Linked DNA regions of Macaca mulatta. The protein of the gene in region 2 purifies or fractionates together with the protein of the main gene of each other region. This does not show direct contact. Links are inferred from orthologs where the notes say so. Each region holds a gene or a part of one and is shown on either strand. Other genes may lie near its edges.

Region 1 (5,999 bases), on a different chromosome or scaffold from region 2:
ATCCATGCCGGAAGGAAATTCCTCACTCTGAAATGGGCCCAGTTCTCTCTTTCCCTCCCGGCCACCAACTTGACCAACCTGCCACCACCCCCTTGTCTCAGTACCTTCCCTTCCCTATTTCTGTGCTGTCTTGTCTTTTTGAGGCCCCGAAGAGTTGACTGAGGGGAATTTGAAGATGTGGGAGGGGGTCTGCCTGTTCTCTGGTTGGAGAGATGAGAGCAGGGAGGGTGGAGATGGAGCTCCTGAGCCCTCCCTCGGTGGAGGGCAGTGCCAGGGCAGGGACCCTACTCCTCCGAGTGTGCGTCTTGAAACCACTCTCAACGCTGGAGGATGAACTGGGAAAAGAATTCATCTAGGTGAATTCAGGTCCTAGGTGGGGGTGGCAGAGGCCAGTCTTTAGGACTCGGCTCCACAGAAGAAAGTGTTTCCCCGGGAGGGGAGGAGCTCAGGAAGCTGGATGCAGGTTTCTGAGGCAGGAGGGTGAAGATGGGATGCCAGGCAGCCCACCCCGCCAGGGACCTGAAGGGCCACAGACTCACCCCACAAAGTAGGAGATGATCAGAAGCTGAACTACTCGGTTGATGATCCCGATGGTCCAGCTCTTCACAACCACCGATTTGGTGGTCTCATAGGTGAAGAAGTCGGATATGCAGTTCATACTGAGAGAGTGCTCAGGGGACACTCAGAAGGGGGCCCAGTGGTGGCCTCAGGAGAGGGAGGTCCCACAGGACAGGGAGACAGGATCACGACCTGGAGGGGGCAGCTTAGAGGGGTCGGAGGACTGGGGAGCCTGTCCCTTTAAGCCAGGCAACCCTAGTCAGGTTCTCTCTTCTCTTGATACTCTGGCTTCCAAGAGACCAGGGCGGGGGACCCCCTTTTTGTTCGTCTCCACCCCACTCCCCTGTGATGTCACAGCAGGGGTGGGGTCTCCAATCCTGGGCTCCTGATTGCCTGGGATGTAGCTGGCTGGAGCCCTCTGGGACTAATGTTTTATCTGCACTCTGTCTACTGTTTCTGTTCTGTTCTCTTCTGCAGCATCCTCATCCCAGCTCACCAGCTGCTCACGCTCTCCCTAAAGCCCTTTGCAATTTCCCGTCCCCTAGTCACCTAACAGCCTGCCTGAACTGAAGACCGCCTTCATTCCTGAGTGCCAGCCAAATTCCACCCAGTTCTGCAGCCGTCCCCTCCTTTCCTGAATTGCCCCCAGTGGCATGGGTCAGGGGGAGAGGGTCTCTTGAAAGTTTTTCTGGGTCTTCTGGGGTGTGATGAGTAAAGACTCACATATTTCTAACTCCAGTTGGTAATGAGTTTCACTCTACCTGTAGCATAGCAGTTAGCACTTCTTTTTTTTTTTTTTTCAGTTTATTTATCAAAATCATTTGTTAGATTATGTTTTCCCGAAAGGTTGGGGCTGGGTCTTTCTTTCTTTCTTCCTTCCTTCCTTCTCTTTCTTTTCTTCCTTCCTTCCATTTTTTTTTTCTTTTTCTTTTTCTTTTTTTGGCAGAGACTCGCTCTGTTGCCCAGACTGGAGTGCAGTGGCACGATCTCAGCTCACTGCAACCTCTGTCTCCTGGGTTCAAGCAATTCTTGTGCCTCAGCCTCCCAAGTAGCTGGGATTATAGGCACCCGCCACCATGCCTGGCTAATTTTTGTATTTTTAATAGAGACGGGGCTTCCACATTGGCCAGGCTGGTCTTGAACTCCTGACCTCAAGTGATCTGCCTACCTCGGCCTCCCCAAGTGCTGGGATTACAGGTGTGAGCCACTGCGCCCAGCCAGGGATGTTTTCGTCTTGTTCAAGTTCCTCAAATCCGAGAAGTGTGCTAAATTAGTCATAGGCCCTCAATATCTATCTATTAAACCCAGTTGAATTTATATTGCTAGATAATGCTGGAATAGCCACTACTCAGAGGTTAAAGCTATGAATTCAGGGGAGAAGGGTGCATTCCTGTTGTCTCTTACCTCAGGATTGAGTTAGCAAGCTGGTGTACTGATTGTCAGGGAAATCTTGAGTTTACATATTCTGTACTAATGTCTTCATGTAGGACACATATCATCAATCATTCTGAACATACAGTCACTGTGATTATGACAGAAGATAACTGGACTGGTGGTGGTAAGGAGGTCTGTGTCCTAGCCTTGTTGCCAACGCACTGAGACCCTGGGCAACTCACTCCCCTTTGGGTCTCAGTATTCCCATCAGTAAAAAGAGGTTGGGGTAGAAAAACTAAAATATATTTTCCAGGTCTGGTCTCTGATGTTGCAAAAATGCACTCTGGGACTATATGAGGGAGAGCTGGCTTCCGCAACCCCAGGATGATGTGGTTTCAAATCAGTTCTGGCTCCAAAGTGAATCTGATACCAGGACTTGAACTGGATACGGCCATTTGTCAGCCTCTTGGGGGGACCTATACATTTCGGTTAGGGATGTGAAAATTTTGGGTGTAGACGGCGAACTTGACAGGTCAGCCAGAAAGCAGTGCACCCACGGTGACACCAACACCCGCATTCTCTCCGCAGCCAGTGCGAGAGGTCGTTTCTTCCCACAACTGTTCAAATACTTTTCTTCGTGTTCCATCGACTCCTCTCCATGACACAGAAACTATTTTGCAGAGAAACGGGCACGCATCATTTCAACACACACCCCCACCCCATTCCTGTACTAAGCTAAGTCTGATACAATACAACTACACAATTTCTCTTCAGTATCTAGTCTCCACTGAAGAAGTGTCTGTAGTTTCTAAAGAGCCCTACACAAATTTTCTAGGCAGATTCCACCCGGCTGAGAGAGACTTCACGGCAACCACTCTTCCCTCAGGTCCTCCAGAGTCGCTGACGCTCTATGCGACTGTCTCGCAGGCGGGCCGGGCTCGCGTCTCTCTAGCCAGCTCGTCGTCTCTGTGGCCTGTGCACGGCTTCCGGTGGCGGGACGCGGGGCCGCGCACGCGGGAAAAGCTTCCCCGGTGTCCCCCCCATCCCCCGCCCCACCGCGTCCCCCCAGCGCGCCCACCTCCTGCGCCGGGGCCCTCGCGAGGCTGCAGCCTGAGGAGGTAGGTGGTGGTCGTCCCCCGGTCCCAGGAAGGCAGGGGCGCCCCTCCCCCAAGGGACGCTCGACATGGACCATTCCGCGTTCGAAACCGCGGGGAGCGGGCGAATCCATCCTGTGGGGCGGGGGTGAACCGGAGGCCCGCGGGGTGGTGGGAGCGCTGCGAGGGAAACCCTGCACTCTGAGCTGGATTGGGGCGCGTGCGAGGTGCGGGCTCCGGGCTGACCCTGGGGTTCCGCTGCTCGTTGCCATGGCTCCCGCCAGAGCGGCTAGAGCGGGCATCGGGTTGGGTGTCAGCGGTATTCCAGGCCCGGTTCTCCACCTGGGCTTAGGCCTGGACCCTCGAGCGCTGCAGCGTCCGTCTGTAGGTTTCCAGGCAGAGGAAATCCTGAGACATCCCAGGCGCAGTTGGGAGTTGCTGCTGTGCTCCATCCGTGAGCACAGCGAGGTGCTGTCTTTCATGCTTATCTGTCTTCCTCTTGAATTTAGATTCCCAACCTGCTGAGCATCCGCCCACCCACTCAGGAGTTGGGGCCCAGCCCCCAGTTTACTCGGTTTCCCTTGTGCAGCCTGGGGCTCTGCCCAGGCCACCACAGGCAGGGGTCGACATGGCAGAGACACTGGAGTTCAACGACATCTATCAGGAGGTGAAAGGCTCCATGGTGAGAATGGCTTGGGCAGTTGATACAAGTAGAGAGAAGGAAGGAGGGTAGAGTTTTTGTCCATTAACGAGAGCTTGCTTTGGTAATGTTATTTTGGAAAAAGAAGACTCAGTATAACGTGTACCTAGTGTCTCCCCCAACACGAGGCAATACTGAGAGATAGTCTCAGAGTTATAGGGACCGTATATGCTCTTCAGTTCCCAATTCCTGTTTTACAAATGAGGAAACTGAGAATCTGTTAAGGATTCTAAATACCAGAGCCTGGTGTGGAATCTAGACTCCTTGCACCTCAGCTGTTGCTCCTGCATTGACAGTCTGCCCAGCCCACTCGCAGCTGGAAAGTGTGTTGGGTAGAACTGGACCCAGGACATGCTGTGTACTGTCCCCATGCATCTGGGCCTGCTTTTCTTACAGAATGATGGTCGACTGAGGTTGAGCCGCCAGGGCATCATCTTCAAGAACAGCAAGACGGGGAAAGTGGACAACATCCAGGCTGGGGAGTTAACAGAAGGCATCTGGCGCCGTGTTGCTCTGGGCCATGGACTTAAACTGCTTACAAAGAATGGCCATGTCTACAAGTATGATGGCTTCCGAGAATCGGTGAGCTGTCCCATAGCTATAAACCCCCTTTTTACTGCATCATCTTGTTTTAATCTTCTAGAGACTCGAGGTTCCTTCCTCATGTAACCCTGTGATTGCTAGTTTGGGCTCCTTAGAGCAGGACTGTGAGGCCATGAGGCAATCAGTGTTCGGCTTTGAGTGTTGAAGTCTTGTGAATTTCTGTGTGCCTTGACTCCAGAAGATTTTCTTCTGTCTTGATTTAGATACTAGTTTCTACCTGTGACTTTTATCAAGGTTCAGGATCTTAGCTTGATGTCTTTTTGTGTTTTTTTTTTTTTTTTTTGAGACAGGGCCTCGCTCTGTCACCCAGGCTGGAGTGCAGTGGCGCAATCTCCGCTCACTGCAGCCTCTGCCTCGTGGGTTCAAGTAATCCTTCCACCTCAGCCTCCTGAATATCTGGTACCACAGGCACATGCCACCATGCCCAGCTGATTTTTCATAATTTTTGGTAGAAATGGGGTTTCGCCACGTTACCCAGTCTGGTCTTGAGCTCTCAGACTCAAGGGATCGCCCACCTTGGCCTCCCAAAGCGTTGAGATTACAGGCATGAGCCATTGCGCCTGGCTAGCTTGATGTCTTAAAGTGTGGGTTTCCATTTTGAACTGCTTGAGTTAAAGGCTTTATTTGATTTTAATTTCCACTTTCATTAAAGTAATACCTATACAAAGTTTATAAAATCAGATGACCCATAACCAGGAATGTCAGATCCAGTGGCTAGAAGCAACCTCTCTAAACCATCTTTTAAACAATGTTAGAGCTGGGTTGCTAAGTCATCATGAGTTTCTTTTTTTTTTTTTTTTTTTTGAGACGGAGTCTTGCTCTGTCGCCCAGGCTCTAGTGCAGTGGCGCGATCTCGGCTCACTGCAAGCTCTGCCTCCTGGGTTCACACCATTCTCCTGCCTCAGCCTTCCGAGTAGCTGGGACTACAGGCGCCCACCACCTCGCCCGGCTAATTTTTTGTATTTTTAATAGAGACGGGGTTTCACCGTGTTAACCAGGATGGTCTCAATCTCCTGACCTCGTGATCCACCCGCCTCGGCCTCCCAAAGTGCTGGGATTACAGGCGTGAGCCACCACGCCCGGCAGCAAGAGTTTCTTATAAAGCCTATTTGGGACAGTTTCTCAGAAATAGATAATCCCAGGACATTCAAGTCGGTGTTAAGGCCACCAGGGTTTACTGGGATTGCGTTTTCTTCCCTCCACCCACAGGAGTTTGAGAAACTCTCTGATTTCTTCAAAACTCACTATCGCCTTGAGCTAATGGAGAAGGACCTTTGTGTGAAGGGCTGGAACTGGGGGACAGTGAAATTTGGTGGTGAGTCCTGGGGAAGACTGAGGTTTGGGGAGGAAGATAGGGTGAAGGGCTTCAGCCTTTTACTTGTTTTGCTCTTTTCCTTCTGCCACTGTCTCTGGTTTCCTATCTGTTTGCATGTTCATCGTGTGTTTATTGAGTACCTACAGTTTACTGGGCACTGTGCCTGGGGTTGGGGTTACAGTGTAAAAAGACTAACCCCAGTATCCTGTCTCTGTGGAACTCAAGTTTGGTGGGAATGTTGCTTATGCAGACTTAAGGGGAGGAGCTTGTGGCTTGACAAGCCCTTTCCTCACAGGGCAGCTGCTTTCCTTTGACATTGGTGACCAGCCAGTCTTTGAGATACCCCTCAGCAATG
Region 2 (5,899 bases):
AATGGCATCCATCCCTCTCTGGTCTTGTGGGTTTCATTAGTGGCCTATGGGCTAAATACGCAGAGCACACAAAGGCCCTGCTTCAGGGCACTGTCCCTGTGCGGTTGCCAGTAGTACTGTCTGTTGTTAGAGACGTCATATTTTCATGGCCTAAAATGCTTCAAACATTTGAGATGAGAATACTTAGTTAAATGTCGTTCTGCGGTTTTTCCATTGGTAAAGGATGGAGGAATTTTTCTGAAATTTTTTCACAAATTTTATTGTCTAAGAAGTTTGGTCTTTTTCGGCTGGGCTTGGTGGCTCACGCCTGTAATCCCAGCACTTTGGGTGGCCGAGGCGGGCGGATCACAAGGTCAGGAGATCGAGACCATCCTGGCTAACGGTGAAACCCTGTCACTACTAAAAAAAAAAAAAATACAAAAAAATTAGCCAGGCATGGTGGCGGGCGCCTGTAGTCTCAGCTACTCGGGAGGCTGAGGCAGGAGAATGGCAGGAACCCAGGAGGCAGAGCTTGCCGTGAGCTGAGATTGCACCACTGCACTCCAGCCTGGGCAACAGTGAGACTGTCTCAAAAAGAAAAAAAAAGTTTGCCCTTTTTTCTCTCTATTCGTGAAATTGTAAGATGAAGTTACTAAAATGACAGAAATAAGTGAGGGGAAGGTAGAAAATTGCTTATTTACTGTGATTGTAACTGTAAAGATGTGGGAGGACAGAATTTGAGTTTTTCTGTGACAGTGTGTGCATGGTTTCTTTAATGTTGCATGAGACAGAGCTGGAGACAGAAAGGCAGGCACCTTGTTCCCCAGGAGCATATGGCCTCCTATTCTCAGAATCCTGCAGGCCCCCAAAGTGGCTTAGAGAAAAGCCCAGCAGCCTTAGGCCTCTCAGAGGGTACCTGGTTTGGAAAGGCCTTCCTCGACCCTGCTTTATGAAAAGCATCTCAGCTTCCCCCACCACAGCTCCCTACATTCCTTCCCCTGTTTTGTTGCTGTCTGCTGCATTTGTCACTGTCACATGTTATGTGCTCATTTTTCTGTATATTATCTGCCCCTTCCACTCCATGAGGCAGGGAACATTGTTCACTATCGGGTCCCTGACACCTAGGATGGGCTGTAGCACAAGCTGGGTGCGCCACAGATACCTGTTAGATGAGTGGATGCAGGCAGGGTTGTGAGGTGCGCAGGCATGCCCGACAGTGGGCCTTAAGAATGTGTGTTGCAGCCGGGCATAGTGGCATGCGCTTGTAATCCCAGCTACTCGGGAGGCTGAGGCAGGAGAATCACTTGAACCTGGGAGGTGGAGGTTGCGGTGAGCTGAGATCGCACCATTGCACTCCAGCCTGGGCAATAAGTGAAACCCCATCTCAAAAAAAAAAAAAATGTATGCTGCTCTACCCAGGAGATCTAGAAGTAACTTCTAAAGCATTAATGAGAAACATGGACAAACATTTATGCGGGGATATGCACTGCAGCCTTACATGGCGAAAGCAGTACAAAGACATGCAGATTTTTGTCCTCCTGCACTCTCTTTGTGGCCCACATGTTCTCTGTTTGCTGCCCTTCAGATCAAGCTTCAAGAGTCTCCAGAAGACATGCCTGCAGGGCAGACACCACATACAGTCATCCTATTTGCTCACAATGATCTGGTTGACAAGGTTCAGCCTGGGGACAGAGTGAATGTTACAGGTAAGAGTGTAGGTTTGCATCAGCACTTTAGCATGTCTGTCTTGTTTTCAATGCTGTGCTTTAGTGAGTCATTGGACTCAGTCACAGGTCCAGTTCTGCCTGCAGTTGTCACTGCATGTCTTTGAGACTGTGGGGTATATCCCCAGTTTATCTGCCACCTTTTTAACTGAGTACCACTGCCCAGCGTCATGAAATTGTTCAGTTCTTCTCAAACTTGAATGTTGGAACTCATGGTTTGTGCGGTCACTCGCCTCTTGATATCTCAGTATCCTGGAACTATGTGTGTCTCAAGTCAGTACTGTTGGCATCATGAGACAGCAGCCTCAGATAGGCTGGTATGGGTAGAGTTTGAGTTATGCCATTAGCTAAGTATTATCAATGCTGGAGTTGTAAGTAATTTTTACTTATTTCCCAAATGTGTAGCCAGGGGTTAACATTTGTTTGTTACAGAGAAGAATGAGTCAGAGTGACTTGTTTCCATGTATAGAAGCTGAGGTTCAGGGATGCATAGACAGCAGTAGCTCAGATGCCACGGTAAATCAGGACCCAGGACTCCTTCTCTTGCTGCCACGAGAGTGTTCTTTGCACAGCACCACATGAGTGTGGCAGTCTTCCTTTTGAATCTGTAGAGTCACAATAGATTTTGGTTGGCGGCAAGGGAGTGTTGATGGCAGCACAGTTCTTCATTGATGGGCAAGGTGGCAACGGTCACAGAGTGCCTGAATCTGCTCCTGAGCGGAGAGCCTGGGGCACACCACGCATCGGCCTTTGTCTTCAGTGAGGCAGTGCTCACCCTGTTTCTTCCCCAGTGTGAAGTCCCGCAGTTGTCACTGGCAGTCTTCTGTTGTAAAAGTACTTGTAGTCATTGAGAATTAAAATAATGCGTAGTCTTTAGTGAGTGACGTGCATATTTCCAGTCCTGCTACCCTGAAACCTTTGATAAAGTATTTAATCCAATATTTTAGTTTCCTCACCTACAAAGTGGAGTTAATGTGATGATACATGTGTGAGAGTATTTGGGGCCTAGGGGCTGTGGAAAGTGCTGTGTAGATATGAAATAAGTATCAATGCTGCTCTGTGAGATAAATCATCATGGGCCACTTTAAACATAGTCGTCCATCCCTAGCCTATATTGGAGTGAAGAATAGTGTGTATTCTAAGAATGCATGTAAACTGGTTTGTTGTGTTAAATAAGAATTACACCAACCCACTAAATGAGCAAGACTCTGTGCCATTGTGTTGAGATAGCTGTAAGGGGGAAAGGCCGGACTTTCTCCAAAAGCTGCAGGAATCAGCCTAGAGTTAAAGGCTTCTGGTTTGAAATCCAGAAAAGACGAATATCAGATCAGACTTCTGTATGTGGGGAGCCTGCCTTCCAGAAGAATGCATGATTTGCATGCTTTTGTCAGGGGTGGTGGGCGGGGGGTGGGACCTAGTCTAGTTTTAATGGCTGGAGGATTTTAGCATTTTGTTGAAGTCAAGTAAGTGCTAAGCAGATTCTGTACACTCAACTTAGGGAAGTAAAAATACTGCTTATTAAATACAACCACAAACCCAGCATTGAGCCAGAAGCACAGCAGCTCCATTTCACCCTCAGGGTGACTATGCCCGTGGAGGTGCTCATGTAGCTACAGTTGCCCTGGAGCACTGCTGACTAGTGGGCCCAGGTGAACACGTCCTCGGCTCTGTCATTTACAGAAACCTTGATTCTTTCTCTTTTTGTTTTGTTTTTGAGAGAAGAGTTTCGCTCTTGTTGCCCAGGCTGGAGTCCAATGGCAGGATCTTGGCTCACCGCAACCTCCACCTCCTAGGTTCAAGCCATTCTCCTGCATCAGCCTCCTTAGTAGCTGGGATTAAAGGCGTGTGCCACCACGCCTGGCTAATTTTTATATTTTTAATAGAGACAGGGTTCTCCATGTTGATTAGGGTGGTCTCGAGCTCCTAACCTCAGGTAATCCGCCTGCCTCAGTCTCCCAAAGTTCTAGGAATACAGACATGAGCCACCTGGGTTCTTTCGAGCTTGTCCGTTTCCTGCTGCTGTTTCCCCGCTTGCTCAGTAGGCGGGAGCTTTGCAATGTGGGTCTGAGTCCTGGGCTTGGGAGGGTCATTTAAGAGATGGTGGAGCTCACCTTTCCAGGGCCAGCCCAGTGTGGTGCCTCGCTCTGAAGTGCACCTGTTGCCTACGCTGGTTGCTGAGCCACTCGGAGGAAGATATGGGAAGGTAAAAGTGCATCTCCTGGTTGTGCCCTCAGGCATCTATCGAGCAGTGCCTATTCGAATCAATCCAAGAGTGAGTAATGTGAAGTCTGTCTACAAAACCCACATTGATGTCATTCATTATCGGAAAACGGATGCAAAACGTCTGCATGGCCTTGATGAAGAAGCAGAACAGAAACTTTTTTCAGAGAAACGTGTGGAATTGCTTAAGGAACTTTCCAGGAAACCAGACATTTATGAGAGGCTTGCTTCAGCCTTGGCTCCAAGCATTTATGAACATGAAGATATAAAGAAGGTAACAGTGGATTTTAAACTAGGGGTTGGGATTTACAGTTCTTTAGAATCAAATAGTATAAACATCCACTCCGCCACTTAAGCCATTTGCCATAAAGGATGCAAGCTGTGGCCTGTTAGAGCAAGTGCTGGCAACCGGACTTGCCATTGGTTGAGGAGAGTCATAGCATTGTCTATCCTCATCTCTGCTCTAAACTTAAGTTTCTAAACAGAAGAGGCCACACAGTATCAGAATAGGGAGAGGGACTTGCATGGCCATCATTCTGGCATAATGATGGGTGCTGATGAATAAATTGGTCAGTGATAACTTAGAGCATATCAAGCACTTTCAGGAGCCTTTTTATACCTTCCTGCGATTTCCGAATTGTAGTTCTTTATAGAGAGAAAAGTACCTCTAAAGTTTAAACTACATCTCAGTTACTGTGCAGAAAATGAATGTTTAGACATGTCTCTGTTTGATTATTTAGGGAATTTTGCTTCAGCTCTTTGGCGGGACAAGGAAGGATTTTAGTCACACTGGAAGGGGCAAATTTCGGGCTGAGATCAACATCTTGCTGTGTGGTGACCCTGGTACCAGCAAGTCCCAGCTGCTGCAGTACGTGTACAACCTCGTCCCCAGGGGCCAGTACACTTCTGGGAAGGGCTCCAGTGCAGTTGGCCTTACTGCGTACGTAATGAAAGACCCTGAGACAAGGCAGCTGGTCCTGCAGACAGGTGCCCTTGTCCTCAGTGACAACGGCATCTGCTGTATCGATGAGTTCGACAAGATGAATGAAAGTACAAGATCGGTATTGCATGAAGTCATGGAACAGCAGACTCTGTCCATTGCAAAGGTGAGTTGCCTTCTCCACTGTGAATGTGGACATGTTTAAAATACGTGGACCCTTGAAAGACAGCGTATGTGGAACTGTGCTGTGCTACCTTGGTTCTAACTTGGGGAGATTGATATGTGCTTTTCACATCATATTTCAGCTAAATCTCTACATATCTTCAACAGGATATCATGTTTTGTCTTTATTGCTGTACTAGCCTTGAATTTGTCCTAAAGCTCTTGCAAGGTGCCTGCTTCCTGAGAAAGACGTGGTTATAGCACGCATTCATCTAAACTCAGTCCTTGTCATGAATCTGAGGACAAGGCTTATCCAGGTGAACTGCTGAAGTCAGTAAAGGCAACATGGCTCAGGCAATAGAAATGCTGTAGAGGGAATATGGGTTTAGTAGGTGGCCGGGCAAAGATGGTACTTGTTAATTGCCAGCGTCAGGGAGAGGCTTCTAACCGCACTGTTTTCTCTGATAGGCTGGGATCATCTGTCAGCTCAATGCACGCACCTCTGTCCTGGCAGCAGCAAATCCCATTGAGTCTCAGTGGAATCCTAAAAAAACAACCATTGAAAACATCCAGCTGCCTCATACTTTATTATCAAGGTATTAAAACAGATTTTTATTTTGTTCATTTGTAGAATATTCAGGGTGAGATTGAAAAGGAGCTACTAAGATTCAGCAACTGCTAATGGAAACTCTTCACTCTTATCAAGATGTTTCAAATTTGGTTGGTCAAGAGTTTTCACGACAAGGATGATGCGTGTTTTCATTTGATTTTGAAGCAGTTGGGATGTTTCCCTCCCACGCCATTTTCACATGGCTGTCACTCACTACCCTTAGTCCTAAAGCCACTGCTGAGAGTCAACAGAGAACAACTCTGT
Region 3 (5,999 bases), on a different chromosome or scaffold from region 2:
CATTCTGAGAAACCATGTTCCAGAATCCAGGCCATGTCTGGACTCCACGCACCCAGCGATGGGCTTGGCATGTAATTTTTAATGATTGTTTGCTGAATAAAGAAATGGGAAACTATTTGATGACAAATTCTTCTGCCCTGGATGCCCTCGCTCTTTGCCTCTACTCCACTGTCAACCAACATTCAATGCTCAGGTGTTTTGTGAAATTCCACTGGAATGTTCAGCATTAACTATGCCATAAGTACCAATATTTTTTCTCCAGCAGCTTCTTCCCCTTAGTAAACAAAGGGTCAAATCTCTTATCTTAGAAAAATGAAGTTTCTCCTCTGCCTCCATGTTCCTTTCTGCCGCTGCCTTCTCCCGCCCCATCCTCTGGCAGCTTAACATCCTGAGTTCTCTTCAGTTTGCTGATCCCACTTCCCTGCCTCCCATTTGGTCCCCATTCATTTTAAGTGCTCTTGACAAAGTCAAAAACGACTGCCCACAGCCATTATCTGGGTGTGAATGGTAACCACTCCTTCATGAAAACTCTCAACTCCTAGACCCCATTCTTACCTGTCTTCCCATCTTGCTCACCATTCCATCCAAGTTTCCTTCCTGGCCTGTTTCACCTCCTGCTCTGTGAAGTTGGAGATCCCCGCTCCCACCGCCCAATTCTGTTCTTGGTTCTCTTCTCAGTTTTGACAGTGTCCTCCACTTCCCCTCCTGCCTCTATACAATCTGGCCCAAACTGATGTCCCAGAACACTCTTGCGTACTGAACAGCTTCGGGTCCAGCTAACTACTGGGCACTTTCATCTCTAACCTCTTTCCTCAGGAATAGCTACTCAGTCGTCCATGCCACAAAGTTGGGGCTCCTCTCTCTTCCTCAGCTTCCACACTCAATAATAATAACATTGATCAAGTTGGGCACAATGGCTTGCACCTATAATCCCGGTGAGTCAGGAGGCTGAGGTAGGAGGATTGCTTGAGCCCAGGAATTCAAGGCTTCAGTAAGCTACGACTGCACCACTGCATTCCAGCCTGGGTGACAGAACGACACCCGGTCTCTTAAAAAAAACTTTTATCAAGCACTGAGTAGATTCCAGGTATTTTTCCCAAGCACTTTAAATATACTAATTCTTATAACTCTTATAAGAAGCCTATAAGATTAAGTACTCTTTTTTTTTGAGACTCTCTCTTGCTGTCGCCCAGGCTGGAGTGCAGTGGCATGATCTTGGCTCACTGCAACCTCCGCTTCCCAGGTTCAAGTAATTCTCTCCCGAATAGTGGGGATTACAAACATGCACCACACCTGGCTAATTTTTTTTACTTTTAGTAGAGACAGGGTTTTGCCATGTTGGCCAGGCTGGTCTCAAACTCCTGACCTCAAGTGATCTGTCTGCCTCGGCCTCCTAAAGTGCTGGAATTACACGCGTGAGCCACTGGGCCGGCCAAGTACTCTTAATATCTCCACATTACAGATGACAAAACTGAGAGATGGAGAGCTTAATGTCCAACTGGCAGAACCAGAATTCTAACACACCACTCTGGCTGGAAAGCCTGCCCACCCCTCTGCCCTAATCTAGGCCAGGCCTTCAGCCCCTTGGAATAGCGTGACTGGCCTCCCCTCCTCGTAGTGACTCTCCACATGCCTGCCTACCTGAATTTCTGAAACACAAATGTCACTATTTGGCTTAAAACTCTCCCTTTTCTTCCCATTGTCTACAAGGAAAAGTTCAAATCCTAAGAAAGAATTGCATCTCCTGTCACCACGCTCTATGCTTCAACACTTGTTCATTTACTCTTGATCAGAGACACCGTTTGATTCTTAACTCAGTGTCTTTGTGCATATTATCTGGCCATTACCTTATTTTCTCCCAACGCCTGGGAAAATGCCAGGGACACACAGGTACTTAAATATCTGTGGAAAAGGCATGGCTTCTTCAGTCATGTCCCCCTCATTCCAAACCCAAAGCAATGATCAGCATATATGCTCAATAAATATTTGCTGGATGAATAAAGGATGTTATTTCCCTTCCCTAGTCACCTGCCTGGCAAACTCCCATTCCTTCTTCTAAAAGAAATTTACCTCTCACTCCCGTGGGCTTCCCTACCTTAATATCCCTTCTACTCCAGCAAGCAATGTTGACTAGATTTGTACCTGAAACTTCTATCACAGGGCATATCACACCGTACTACAATGGTTTATACACATTTGAGATTCGAGAGGTTTATTAAGGGCGGGCTGACACTGTATCATTGACGGCCATCGGAACAATAAACATTTGGTGAGCATTCTCGTGTATCTGTCTTCTCGTTAGCCTGTGAGCTCCCCGTGCCCCATTCATTCCGGTAACGTGGGAGCGTGGCACGGTGTCTGGCTTGGGGCAGACACCGAAATAGATGCTGAGAATTAACATCCAAAGATGTACCGCCCAGGCTGGGAAAGTGGGCATTACTGGGGAAAGGCTGGGGCCGGTGGCCCCAACTGCCACAGAAGATCACAGGATGGGCTGGATCAGCGCCTCTCACACTTACAAATCAATCACCTTAGGATTTTGTTCAAATGTAAGATCCCTATTTAAAAGGTCTAGGGCGGAGACTCCACATTTCTAAGCTCTCGGCTCGTGCCGACGCGGCTGCTCCGCGGACCACTTTGAGAACCCCGTTCAGAGCAGCTGGTTTCGTTACCAGAACCACCACCATAGCGCGGGAAGCGCGCAGCCTCCTGGGATTTGCAGTCCCTCCAAGCCCTTCATAGCGGCCGCTTATTCCCGCTCAAGTAAGTAGCGCCCAGGCCCACGCTCCGGCTGCAGGTTGAGGGGCGGGGGAGAGGTACCTGTTTGGGCTCGGTGGCCACGGGCGGCGGCGGGGGCACCGCCTGCACGGGTCCGGCCGGCATGACTGCGACGCTGAGGGCTGCCAGTCCGCCTCGGTGTCGGTGAGGAGTGCCGCCTCAAGACAGCCTCCCCGCTCGAACAGTACGACGAGCTCGCAAAATGGCGGCAGCCGAGCGAGTTGTGGCCGCGAAGGTAAGACTGACGCACTTCCGGGACCGCCCCCTCGCCGTGGCGCGCTTCCTGCTCCTCCCCGCGGGCACCGCGGCGTCCGACGCCGTTGTCAAGGCAGCGGCTGGAGCTCCGGGCTAGGGGTTTCCGGGGTTCCCGGGAGCCGCAGGCGCGCCGGGGGCAGTTCCCGGGGCTGACCGGATACAGAGGCTGAAACCGCGACGCCGAAGACAGGTGAGATGTTCTACGTCACCCGCCGGACCTCCGCCGCACTCAGCTCGCGCCTCCTTTACTCTACAGTGCCTCGCTCAGTGCCAGTGCCTCGCTCCCTTCGACACCGCCTTCCAAGAGCCCAGCTCCCTCCCATTGGCCTCTCATTTCGGAGAGCCCCTGTGCCCTAAGGCTCGCCGCCTCAGAGCCCCGCTTCCCTATTCCCTTAGTCCCCCCTTTCATTTCAGGCCCACATCCTCCAAGCCGCTCTTCCAAATCCTACGCCCTTAATTCCCTTTTCCCATAGGCCTGCCTTTTCTTGCTTCCACCCCCTGCCTTCCGTAGTCCTGATCTCAAGCCCCACTGGGGCCTCCCTCTCAAATCAAGGCTGCTGCTTTTTCTTTCTTTTTTGTTTTTTTCTGAGACAAGGTCTTGTTCTGTCACCCAGGCTGGAGTGCAGTGGCGCGATCTTGGCTCACTGAAACCTCCGCCTCCCGAGTTCAATCGCTGAGTTCAAGCAATTGTCCTGCCTCAGCCTCCCGAGTGGCTGGGACTACAGGCGCCCACCACATCCGGCCGTGTGTGTGTGTGTGTGTGTGTGTGTGTGTGTGTGTTTTGTAGAGACGGGGTTTCACCACGTTGGCCAGGCTGGTCTCGAACTCCTGACCTCAAATGATCCTCCCGCCTCGGCTTCCCAAAGTGTTAGGGTTACAGGCGTGAGCCACCGCGCCCGGCCAGTTTTAAAATTTTTTTTGTAGGGACGTGGGAGGACGTCTCCCTATGTTGCCCAGGCTGGTCTCAAACTCATGGAGTCAAGCAATCCTCCCACCTGGCCTCCCAAAGTGCTGGGGTTACACGCATGAGCCATCACTCAGGGCTGCTGCTTTAGGCTTCACCCCTCACTCTCACAGGTGCGCCCCTGCAAGCTATGCAGCTCGCTCCCCAGAGGCCTACCTCGACTCCTGCCGGCTTTCTCTCCCTCTCCTGAGATCCCCACCCCCTTCCTCCCCTCCTCAACTCCGGAAAGCCCGGAGCTGGCTGGGAACCTTGCCTGGCTTTCAGTTTCCTCACCTGTGAAATGAGGGAGTGATAGGAAGGGTTGCTCTCTCCAGTCTTCCCCCTCCCCCGCACACATCGTAGTTGTGTGTCATGGTTGTTATTAATGTAGAATAATGATAGCTAGGATGTATTGGTCATTTGCTATGAGCCGGATCCTGTGCCCAACACTTCATGTATTACGTCATTTATTCCTTATAGCACCCTATTTACAAATGAGGACAGTGAAGTTTGGAGTTGGTAGAGTGGGAATGCAAGCTCAAGCCAGTCTTATTCCTCTACTAGTGCAGTTAGTTATTCTTTTGTCCTCAGTCCCTTCAGCGTCCCCAGGGATCCAGGCAATTAACAATCTCATGTTTGAGACTGGCATCTGCCACATAGCTGGTTTTAGAGTTTCCCATGTTTTCGTGGTGGTGACTTTGAATCTCAGCAGTCACCCTGGCTGGGAAGTAGGCGTCATTTTTACCAGTAGGTTAGGGTACTAGGTCTCAGAGAAGGTGCTGGAATGTTGAACGGAAGTGTAGGAAAGGCTCCTGCTCTTCTCTGGGAGTCAAAAGTCCGCCTTGAGCCCCAGGAAATTGAGGAGAGGCAGAGATAGCTGCTGCTCCTTCCTAAGGGTTCAATTAGTGCAGTCACCTATGTGTTCCTGGGTACAGTGCAGGGCTGGCAGCCTCAGACTGAGGGTTCCACTCAAGAGCGAGGAATTACAGAGAGCTCATGTCAAGTGCTTTTTCACTTGACATGCACGTAAGTACTTCTTTTTTTTTTTCTTTTTTTTTTTTTTTTTTTTGAGACGGAGTCTTGCTCTGTCGCCCAGGCTGGAGTGCTGGAGTGCAGTGGCACAATCTCGGCTCACTGCAAGCTCCGCCTCCTGGGTTCACGCCATTCTCCTGCCTCAGCCTCCCGAGTAGCTGGGACTACAGGCGCCTGCCACTATGCCCGGCTAATTTTTTGTGTTTTTTAGTAGAGACGGGGTTTCACTGTGTTAGCCAGGATGGTCTCGATCTCCTGACCTCATGATCCACCCGCCTCGGCCTCCCAGAGTGCTGGGATTACAGGCGTGAGCCACCACACCCGGCCGCACGTAAGTACTTCTTAAACCATGCTTGTATCTGCATGACTTGAATTTTCAGAAGAAGCAACATAAGGTCATCTTGGATTTTCCTGAACTTGGGCATTTGCTGCTGCTTATCTGAACCAGGATCTAGTGGGAGTTGATATCCAAAATTGCCCCATAGGGCAGCTGTAGTTATTTGAAGGTGAACAGATCAGTGTTTCCTGGTGCCTTCACAAGCACACTTATGAATTCCAGGTGCTTTGCCACCTGAATACACTTCCTCCCAGGTTGGGACTTCTTGATTGCTTTATTTCCTTCATGCTCTTTTCAGGAAGGAAACCCAGAATACTTCCAAGTGTTATTTTGCCTTTGTTTCTGCCTCCCTCCTTGGAGACATAAAATCTCTTGGGCAGCAGTAGTTCATGAGAAGCAGCTGCCAAGACAACAGGAGTGTGGGATGTGGGCATGTGTATTGTGAATGTCATGGGGCAGACACGTATCACTTGGGTGATATCCCATGGGTGAAACTGGCACACACAAGCTTACCCCTTGCAGAGACCCTCAGATATCGTTGGTAGTTCCTGGAGGACAGGGCTCCTTGTGCCCTGATGTGTTCCTGGTCTTGCCATAGTGCCTGGGATGGAATAGATACTCAGTCCTCATTTACTGAATGCACACACAGCATCC

The links. Proteins that work in one complex are often made in the same cells at the same time.
Region 1: the proteins of MCM4 (region 2) and SSRP1 purify together in Homo sapiens (affinity purification with mass spectrometry; 4 studies listed by BioGRID and IntAct, counting the BioPlex papers as one, with this or other methods). This does not show direct contact. The link is inferred for Macaca mulatta from reciprocal best matches to the Homo sapiens genes MCM4 and SSRP1.
Region 3: the proteins of MCM4 (region 2) and SF3A1 fractionate together in Homo sapiens (co-fractionation; 3 studies listed by BioGRID, with this or other methods). This does not show direct contact. The link is inferred for Macaca mulatta from reciprocal best matches to the Homo sapiens genes MCM4 and SF3A1.

Annotation. Positions count from the first base shown.
Region 1 is NC_133419.1:16,068,574-16,074,572, forward strand, and holds the start of SSRP1 (FACT complex subunit SSRP1), read left to right. Parts: upstream 1-2,979; 5' UTR 2,980-3,050; exon of another isoform or gene 3,051-3,253; intron 3,254-3,535; 5' UTR 3,536-3,654; coding exon 3,655-3,708; intron 3,709-4,122; coding exon 4,123-4,308; intron 4,309-5,538; coding exon 5,539-5,644; intron 5,645-5,939; coding exon 5,940-5,999. Other genes in the region: P2RX3 (P2X purinoceptor 3), read right to left, coding at 540-658. UniProt on the Homo sapiens protein: Component of the FACT complex, a general chromatin factor that acts to reorganize nucleosomes. The FACT complex is involved in multiple processes that require DNA as a template such as mRNA elongation, DNA replication and DNA repair.
Region 2 is NC_133413.1:58,511,475-58,517,373, forward strand, and holds part of MCM4 (DNA replication licensing factor MCM4), read left to right. Parts: intron 1-1,564; coding exon 1,565-1,685; intron 1,686-3,937; coding exon 3,938-4,197; intron 4,198-4,663; coding exon 4,664-5,029; intron 5,030-5,493; coding exon 5,494-5,621; intron 5,622-5,899. UniProt on the Homo sapiens protein: Acts as a component of the MCM2-7 complex (MCM complex) which is the replicative helicase essential for 'once per cell cycle' DNA replication initiation and elongation in eukaryotic cells.
Region 3 is NC_133415.1:21,186,498-21,192,496, reverse strand, and holds the start of SF3A1 (splicing factor 3A subunit 1), read right to left. Parts: upstream 3,002-5,999; 5' UTR 2,884-3,001; coding exon 2,821-2,883; exon of another isoform or gene 2,722-2,820; intron 1-2,721. UniProt on the Homo sapiens protein: Component of the 17S U2 SnRNP complex of the spliceosome, a large ribonucleoprotein complex that removes introns from transcribed pre-mRNAs.